Nothobranchius furzeri: one gene and its partner. The protein of the gene in region 1 interacts with the protein of each later gene in a pairwise test. Links are inferred from orthologs where the notes say so. Each region holds a gene or a part of one and is shown on either strand. Other genes may lie near its edges. The genes, in order: sgta and gal.

The links.
Region 2: the proteins of sgta (region 1) and gal interact in binary tests that used the Homo sapiens proteins (3 or more experiments, as listed by UniProt). The two-hybrid records come from large-scale screens. The link is inferred for Nothobranchius furzeri from reciprocal best matches to the Homo sapiens genes SGTA and GAL.

The regions. Positions count from the first base shown.
Region 1 is NC_091748.1:79,902,059-79,905,878, forward strand, and holds part of sgta (small glutamine-rich tetratricopeptide repeat-containing protein alpha), read left to right. Parts: intron 1-434; coding exon 435-566; intron 567-765; coding exon 766-869; intron 870-942; coding exon 943-1,030; intron 1,031-3,607; coding exon 3,608-3,707; intron 3,708-3,820. UniProt on the Homo sapiens protein: Co-chaperone that binds misfolded and hydrophobic patches-containing client proteins in the cytosol. Mediates their targeting to the endoplasmic reticulum but also regulates their sorting to the proteasome when targeting fails.
Region 2 is NC_091754.1:40,202,235-40,206,694, reverse strand, and holds the start of gal (galanin peptides), read left to right. Parts: upstream 1-1,469; 5' UTR 1,470-1,548; coding exon 1,549-1,563; intron 1,564-1,642; coding exon 1,643-1,723; intron 1,724-2,882; coding exon 2,883-2,937; intron 2,938-3,251; coding exon 3,252-3,323; intron 3,324-4,460. UniProt on the Homo sapiens protein: Endocrine hormone of the central and peripheral nervous systems that binds and activates the G protein-coupled receptors GALR1, GALR2, and GALR3.

The DNA of each region.
Region 1 (3,820 bases):
CCTTTAATATTCGATGATGAAACTCGGTACTTTGGTTAATCGGGGAAACAACACTATAATAATCTGACTCAGAGACAAAAATGTAGTTTATAAAATCTGTTTATTACTATATTAATGATGATGAAAGGCTAATGATTATAAATATATCATATAAACCACTCTGACGTCCACACACTAGCGATGCTCCTTTACCAAAGCTCTTTAACCAGCCTTAACGGTTATTAACCAGTTAACCGTAAACCAAGCAGCCCTTTTACCTCTCTCTAAGTGGCACTGGCCCACAGGTGCTGTCGGAGAGGAACTGGTGGAGGTGCCAGTTTCAGCACAACACCGGCTACATTACAGGTGCTGTGTTGGAGCCAGCCGGTGAGCTTTAGGGTTCAGCTGGAATCGCTCGTGTTTCTAAACCACAGCTGGACTCACCTGTGTTCCAGGTGTCTCTCTCACTCACTCACTCTCCACCATCATGACGGACACCAAGCGTCTCGCCTTCTCCATCATTCGGTTCCTCCATGACCAGCTCCAGTCGGGGAATCTGACCCCAGATGCTCAGGAAAGCCTAGAAGGTGAGTTTCATCATTCTGACGTGTCTAATTGAGCAAGATAAAACTTGATGCCAGAGATATTGAAGAAATACCCAAATGGCTTGCCCTAAAGCGCTGAGCGGGTGGGGGAAGGGCCTCCGAAGCTGCAGTTTTATTCTGAAGACAGTAAAGAGAAATAAGCAGCTTCAGGACTTCTCGGGGTTCTCTTCATCTCCTTCAGTTGCTGCTCAGTGTTTGGAGACAGCGTTTGAAATCTCCACCGATGACCAGAGTCTCGCCGTCCCGCTGACGTTACCCGAGATCTTCACCGCAGCCACAGCCAAGGTGTGTGACGAGCTCCACTTCTGGATTTTGGTGTTTCTGGGTCCGGTCTGATGCCGTTTTTGTGTCCCAACAGTTTCCAGCTCAACCGCAGGCCAACAACTCCAGCCCCAGTTTGCCCACAGAGGAGCAGAAAGCTGAAGCCGAGCGGCTGAAAAGTGACGGTGAGTCCCGCTTCAGGTCCTGGGTGTGCGCGCTAACCCAACCTGGTTCAGAACCAAGAGCTGCAACACGCTGGACTCGCTGTACCCGCCGATGTTGTCCTAAACCCACGTGAACATTGTTAGTATCGTCAGCACATCTTGACTTCCTCCCTGTCAAAGCCAACTCTCTGTCCTACCAGCAGCTCTGGTCCATCTTCAGGTTGGAGGAAAGTTGCTGTGAAGCTGCTGCTGCTGTGGAAATCCCACATTTCAGACTCCGCCTGTGCTGTAGTTGAGGTGTTTTAAAGCATCCAGGTGGAGTGCATTTAAAGTCCCATTAGTCATCACGCACTGGTGGAATAGACCGCATCTCCACCGTTGACCCAGCTGTGGCTGTATCCGGTGGTTTAAGCTCCTGATCCAACCCCTTAAAGAGCAAGTCACCCCCTACCAGAGCCTTACTTCACTTCCTGTTTGATGTTGTTGCCTGGCAGCCCGCCGGTCACACACAGGCCCACAGCGGCATTGTTGCATCATAATGTACCTCTTAGCCAATAGCGATGGCAGATTTAAATTGTAATGCAGTGCTTGAAATCCTTGAAAATGCTTGAATTGCAAGCCTTTTTTAAGTGTATCTGGTAGTTAACTTACAGTAGATGTTGTGACAAGGGCGTTCTTTATGGCATCTATACTTCCAAGACCTTCTCCACAGTTTGTATCAACTCCACCATCTTCCAGGCCTGGCGGACTCGTCCTCTGCACAGAGAAAGAGTCTGGTTCCTCTCAGGCACAACGGCACGAGGGCGGCCCGACTAGGCAGCTCAACAACGACCAATCAGAAAACAGAGGAAATGCCGACTGTACTGCTGTAGTAACAAAAGGCGTCTGGCGACGGCACAAACGTCTTTTATTCTAGAAGAAAGGCTTTTAGCGCTTCTACTTGTTGTTTTAAAGACATGCCCAAGTCGTTTAGACCAGAGGAAAGAGCCGCGGCCAACTCCGCTTCAGTCGCCATGCTTATGACAAACTCGGCGTTGTGGTGTGTGACGTATGCTCAGTGCTGATCGGCTCGTTAGAGACCTCAGGGGGCGGGGTTAATTGAATCGGAGCGTTCCCAGACCCTTTCTCTGTGCAGCATTAACCAGAGGAGGAGTCTGGCGGGCCAGGCTAGTGTCTTCCTTGGATGGTGGTTTCTAACAGGAGGAGTTCCCTTCCACTGTTGGGATAGCAGCAGATGTTTGGTTTCCGTGGCTGTTCTCCAGAACGCCAAAGGTGCAATCTGCAGTGCTATACGTTGTGAGGTGGAGGTCTTTTGTCATTTGATCATCAAGGCTGTCCAGCAATTGGACCTTCTTCACTTCTTTTGAGCCAACGGGTTGACCTTGCTTCCCAATCTGTTTTCCATCGGTGGAGATCCCCTTAGGTATCAGAAACCGTGGGGAGAGAGGTGGGTTTGAATGTAATAACTGCTATGATAGGATTTCCCGTTGTTGTCACCTGTTTCTGTCTTCAGTGTCTTCCTTTATCCGTGCTTGAATGAAGCTGGCCTTTAGACAGCCTTGGTAGCTGAAGCTCCGTGTTTGGGATGTGTGTTCGGAGACCTGAACATCTGAAGGAATGCTTTTCTTCCACTCACCATACGCCCTCTCGCAGCCTTTACCAGCTCTTTCAGGTGGTTCATATCAGGCTTCACAACCAGGCAACGCTTCCCCTTTTCTTCACCGTTTTTATTAGTCCCTGACCAAATCAGTGGTAGCGTTAGCGGCAGCTTTAGCACATGCTTCAGCGCCAGGTGACAAGCCGGCTGCCTCTCTGGGATTATAAATATTATTTTCCCTTTTTCAGACGATATAAACACTTCGGATCACTTGTTTCCTTGTAGGTGTTAGCGCACCCACAGTGATCCCGTCGCTTTTATAGTCCCCCTGGTGCTTCCATCTTGGTTCCTACTGCTTCTCGAGCCTGACTCGACAATTCATAATAATATTATTAATGTGTGACCATACTGATCAACAAAGTAGACTAATCTGGTATCATTTAAGATCTGGAATAAATCATTATAGGAATAAACATTTACTGTAGAGCATTCGGCATTATTAAAACACATTTACTCATAACATATATGACTGTAATACCTTGTAAAGTTAGGAAATAATGTTATGAGCCAGAAAAGATCCCTATTCAAAGAGTCTTGTGTCCTCAGAGGTGTCTTGTGACATGGATAATGCTCAAGCTGAGAGATATTCATAATCTCCTGGTGTCGGGTTGGCACGACCTACTTTCATCCATTTGATGAAATAAGGCCTTGAGCAGAACCTTTAAATGTAACTAAGATGCACTAAAGTGCCAAATTATGGACTGCACGTGTCTGCAGCACGATTAGACACTCGGTTCTACAGTGGATCTGCAAAAACGTAGATTTGGGGGTGACTTGCTCTTTAAAGCTGCGTGTCAAGCAGGGAGGCATTGGGTCTTTGGTATGACTAAAGACTGGGACTGGGAGATCAGAGTTCAAGTGAGCCAACAGCGGTTCTGCCGGTGCTCTGGGATCTGTTTGTGGTTTATGAGCTGATGAATGGCGTCTGGTTCCTCCTGCAGGAAATGACCAGATGAAGGTGGAGAACTTTGCAGCAGCTGTGGAGTTTTACGCAAAGGCCATCAGTATGAATCCTCAGAATGCCGTCTACTACTGCAACAGGTCAGTCTTCTACCCTGGGGATGACTGTAATGGCCAGAACCACAGAAACCAGTGGGATCTCAGCTGATGGATCCATGCAGCTGATTCATGGAGCGGCTGTTGGTGTTGTTGCA
Region 2 (4,460 bases), on another chromosome or scaffold:
GAAATGCCATGTTGTAAACAGTCATTTCTACTTCTACTATGGTGCAGTGTTGGGTGCATGCCGTAGAGCTCCATGCTGCCCCCTACAGTTTGGGAGAATATTGGCTCACCGCAGAGACAAGCCGCACGAACCATAAACGCTGCGAGTTGTGAAGCGCGTTCCATCCGCGAGCCGCATCACCGCGCGGAAAGTGAATGCATCAAGCATAAACCAAGCTTAACAGACACGATCTGGCTTCAGCACGGACAGCCGTTTACACTCATGTTTTGAACGTCTCTGGAGATCTGCTCCCATGGGAGCATTGAACGATGAGAACTTTGACCCAAGATGTTTAAAATATACCTGTAAATAAAACATGAGCAACTATCAGGCCGCTACCAGAGACGAGCAGCACATCAGACAACTTTGTCATCACTAATAAAACTAAAGCTAGCAGAAATATCATGACACGGGTTGTATTTTGAAATATACCGGAAACACATCTCACTTCCTGTCTGGCACATGTAATTTCTTCTTCATGAATATTCGCATTCGGCTCTCAGACAAAAACAGAAAACACACAGAGACTCTGGAGCTCATTATCCGGATCTGCACTGCGGCCGGTGTGAATGCCGGACCGAGTCAGGACCTCACTCCTTCTGCATTTGGTGTGGATGAGGTTTGAGTCTTCCCATGCACAGATTTCTTCTCACACCCAACCATCTGTCAGAAGTCTTGGCGTGTCCTAACAGCTGCGTGGTGTTGTAAAAGAGCTGAGACATCACAACCTTTCATTTGTGCCTGGATCCTATTGTTATGGTCCAAGTTTCCTAAAATGGTTTGATGGTTTGCATCCTACAGTGCACTGCTTGCTGGTGCTCTAGTTGTATACTCTATTGTTTTGTTTTTTTACTTTTGCTGCTTTTTACCTGAACTGTCTGCTTTCAGCTGTGACAATGCACACGTCCCACTGATGGGACTAAAGAAGGATTATTTTATGTATCTTATTTTATAATCACCCTCGGAGCACCCTGAACACCTTTACTCTGTCCCTGAGAAAAAACCTTTGTTTGATTGCTATTTAATCAATATCTGCATCAATAACATGTCATCAAACCACACACGATGAATTAAAAGTGTAACGTTTTCATATTTATAATGTTTCTGTGTTCATTTGTTTTCTTCTCTCTACGGTTTTATTTATTACCTGAAACTTAATTGAACACCTCCTGAGGTCATTGTGGATTGATAAATGTAGATAAAACCCAGCCATGTCTCCACAGACACCGAATCACCGCAATCAAAATGGATTCATAACATGAAACAGCTTCAGCTCCTTCAGAGAGCCGCTGCGGTAATGAGCCCAGATTTAATCTCAGGTCTTCGAGAGCGAGGAGGACAAACCTGATGTGGCTCCTATTGGTGTGTTTGTGTGTGTGTATGTGTGTGTGTGGTGCTGACGCTAGCAGGCAGCAGCAGGGACGGGCTCCAAGCTCTTTAAAAGCCGGACCGAGTCGTGGCTCCAGCCAAACTCACATCAACTCTCCACTCAGTTCCACACGTGACGTCATGGTCCCGACGAAGGTAGGTCTACCTGTGGCAGGTGGCTTCCCGTCCAACCTGCTGTCTCCAGCAGCTTTTTAAAAAGTCTCTACTTTTTCAGATGCAGAGGTGTTGCAGTCTTTTTTGCGTGTCTCTTATTTTTTGTGCAACCCTGTCCGAGACCATCGGGCTCGTCATTGCGGTAAGTTCCTGCGTAACTTAGCAACTTAGGGCTCAGAGTGGTCAATGAGAGGATAACTGCTGAGGAAAACTATCATTTCAAACTATTGGATTTAAATAACTGCAATTAAATAATAAAACAACTTTATATTTATGAGAGTTAGAAAACAGCACAGTGCTTCAGATAAAGAACTAAAGCTCTTATTAATGTAATAAATGGTCATAATGCAAAGATGTTTATTAGAATTAAAGCTTTTCTTTAGAAAAACTCTTGATTCCGTGAGGAAATCTGCAAGATTCGTTCATTGTCACATTTTCCATCCCTCAAAGGCTCTGAGACTGGAAATGATAGACAAACATTTATAAATCTATATTTGTTATTTTTACTCTATAGAAGAAGAAGGAGATATAGTGAGCCCAAGGGTGTCGAAGGTTGATGTGTGTGTGTGTGTGTGTGTGTGTGTGTGTGTGTGTGTGTGTGTGTGTGTGTGTGTGTGTGTGTGTGCGCACGCACACAAAAAAAGGGGAAAGCATGGAATAAATTTAGTTGGAAGAGCGTGAGCCTCTGAGGGAGTGTGTCCAAACCCATGATCTCTGAGTCTTTACAGACTTTTAGAGCCAAGAGTTTCATTGTATGAGGGGTGATGTTGCAGGAGAATATTTAACTTAATTAGCAATGCGCCGATTTGAATTTTTGGGCCGATACCGATAGCCGATATTAAGATCACTGTTATGACCGATAACCGATATTTTCCGATACCGAAATTCTGACATTAATGCTTCTAAAATCAACAGATTTTGTATGGAATGAAAATGATTAAAGCTGAATTTACGTTATTATGGACACATGCCACACACATTTATGGTTTTGAGATTATTTAATTCACTGTTCACATGACTAAACAATTGCACATCACCCCCCCCCCCCCCACACACACACACACACCCTCTCAAACAGGCAAACAAATGGAGATGAGATGGAAAAAATATTGGTTGTTGATATCGACCCGGTTTTATTTATCGAACCGATACCGATATGTTAAAAAAGTACTAACATCGGCCGACACTGATATTGATGCCGATATATTGTCCATCCCTACTTTAAATAAGCTCACTGTAATAGTTAAGGAGACTTGTAAAGAGAAAGGAGAACAGAAGACAAGACGTGGTTTCTGTTTCAGGCAAAAGAGAAGCGCGGTTGGACTCTGAACAGCGCTGGATATCTGTTAGGTCCTCGTAAGTACAAACCACACACACATACAGTTTTCTGTGTAACACACAGCTCAAAGGGGACGGTGGAGCTCATCTCTGTGTTGGTGTGTCCATGTCCACTGTCTCCACTGTGTGTGTTTCAGCTAATGAAGTCTGATTTAGACATTACCTTATTAGCCAGAGGGCACGTTAAGTTAACAATGAGTTTCCAGATGTGTGTGTTTTTACAAGTTTGTGGAGGTACAGGTAGTCCAGAACACAAATCCTGGACCCTGAGCCGTGTGTGCGTGTGTGTGAAGACCAGGTAAAGGTTGCCCCTGCCTCATCCTGTGTTTCAGGTCGTATTGATCACCTAATTCAGATAAAGGATTCCCCCAGTGCCAGAGGCAGAGACGAGCTGGTCGCTCAATGTAAGATAGAAACATCCAGCTGCTGCAGGGCCTTGGTGTCACACCAGGAATTGCTCTGTTCAAATATTATCTGTTTGTGTTTCTCATCGCCTAACATCTGACCCTGCTGCCCTGTGCTTCTCTGTGACCCGGCTGCATTTCCAACTTTCATCATGTAATTACTCAGAGGAAGGTGTGAGTCTCAGTGGAATGGTTTCTGGCGTCGTTTGACAATAACGCACACACACACACACACACACACACACACACGCACGCGCACGCACGCACGCACGCACGCACGCACGCACACACACACACACACACACACACGCACGCACGTACACACACACGCACGCACGCACACACACACGCACGCACACACGCACGCACGCACGCACACACACACACACACACACACACACACACACACATGTACACGCACACAAGCACACACGCACATGCGCGCGCACGCACGCACACACACACACACACACACACACACACACACACACACACACGCGCACACAAGAGCCAGTTAGGCCAGACTACAGGTAACCAATCAGCAACAAGTAACATGTTTTCACAAGCAGGTGACCCTTTAGTTCTAAGAGGGAGGCTTTAATCTGCTGACATTGAAGGCATTTCTAAGGATTGCTGCTGTGCCTGCCGTGCATGACGTCACCATTCCTAACGCATCACTTATCTCCTGGTCCCACGCGGCTGTGGACGTATTCCCACAGCGATCACATGTAGTTAGAGTGGGGCAAGCAACCCAATGGGAAGGAGCAGAGTTTCCCCAAACCAGCAAGGCTGCCAGGGAGGGAACCGGTGCCATCCCCCTATGATGGTAGAGGGAGGAGAACTTTCATGTAAAAACCGTGAAACGCGGAGCACTATATTATCTTGTATGTCCATAAACAGCAACTGTATTCAAGATGGAGCATGTGGAGCGTCACCCACAGTTTATATTTGTACACAGATGTGTAATTTCAAGCTAATAGGAGTGTTTAGAATAGACTTTGGTGAGAATTATTAATGAAAAGGACATGTTTGTGAATGTGATACACAAAATGGATTCTAAACAAGTACAAATATTACTCTGTGGCCTTAATGTTGTGGCTAGCTCAGAGTTTAGACGGAGATGGTGTTGTTATGGAA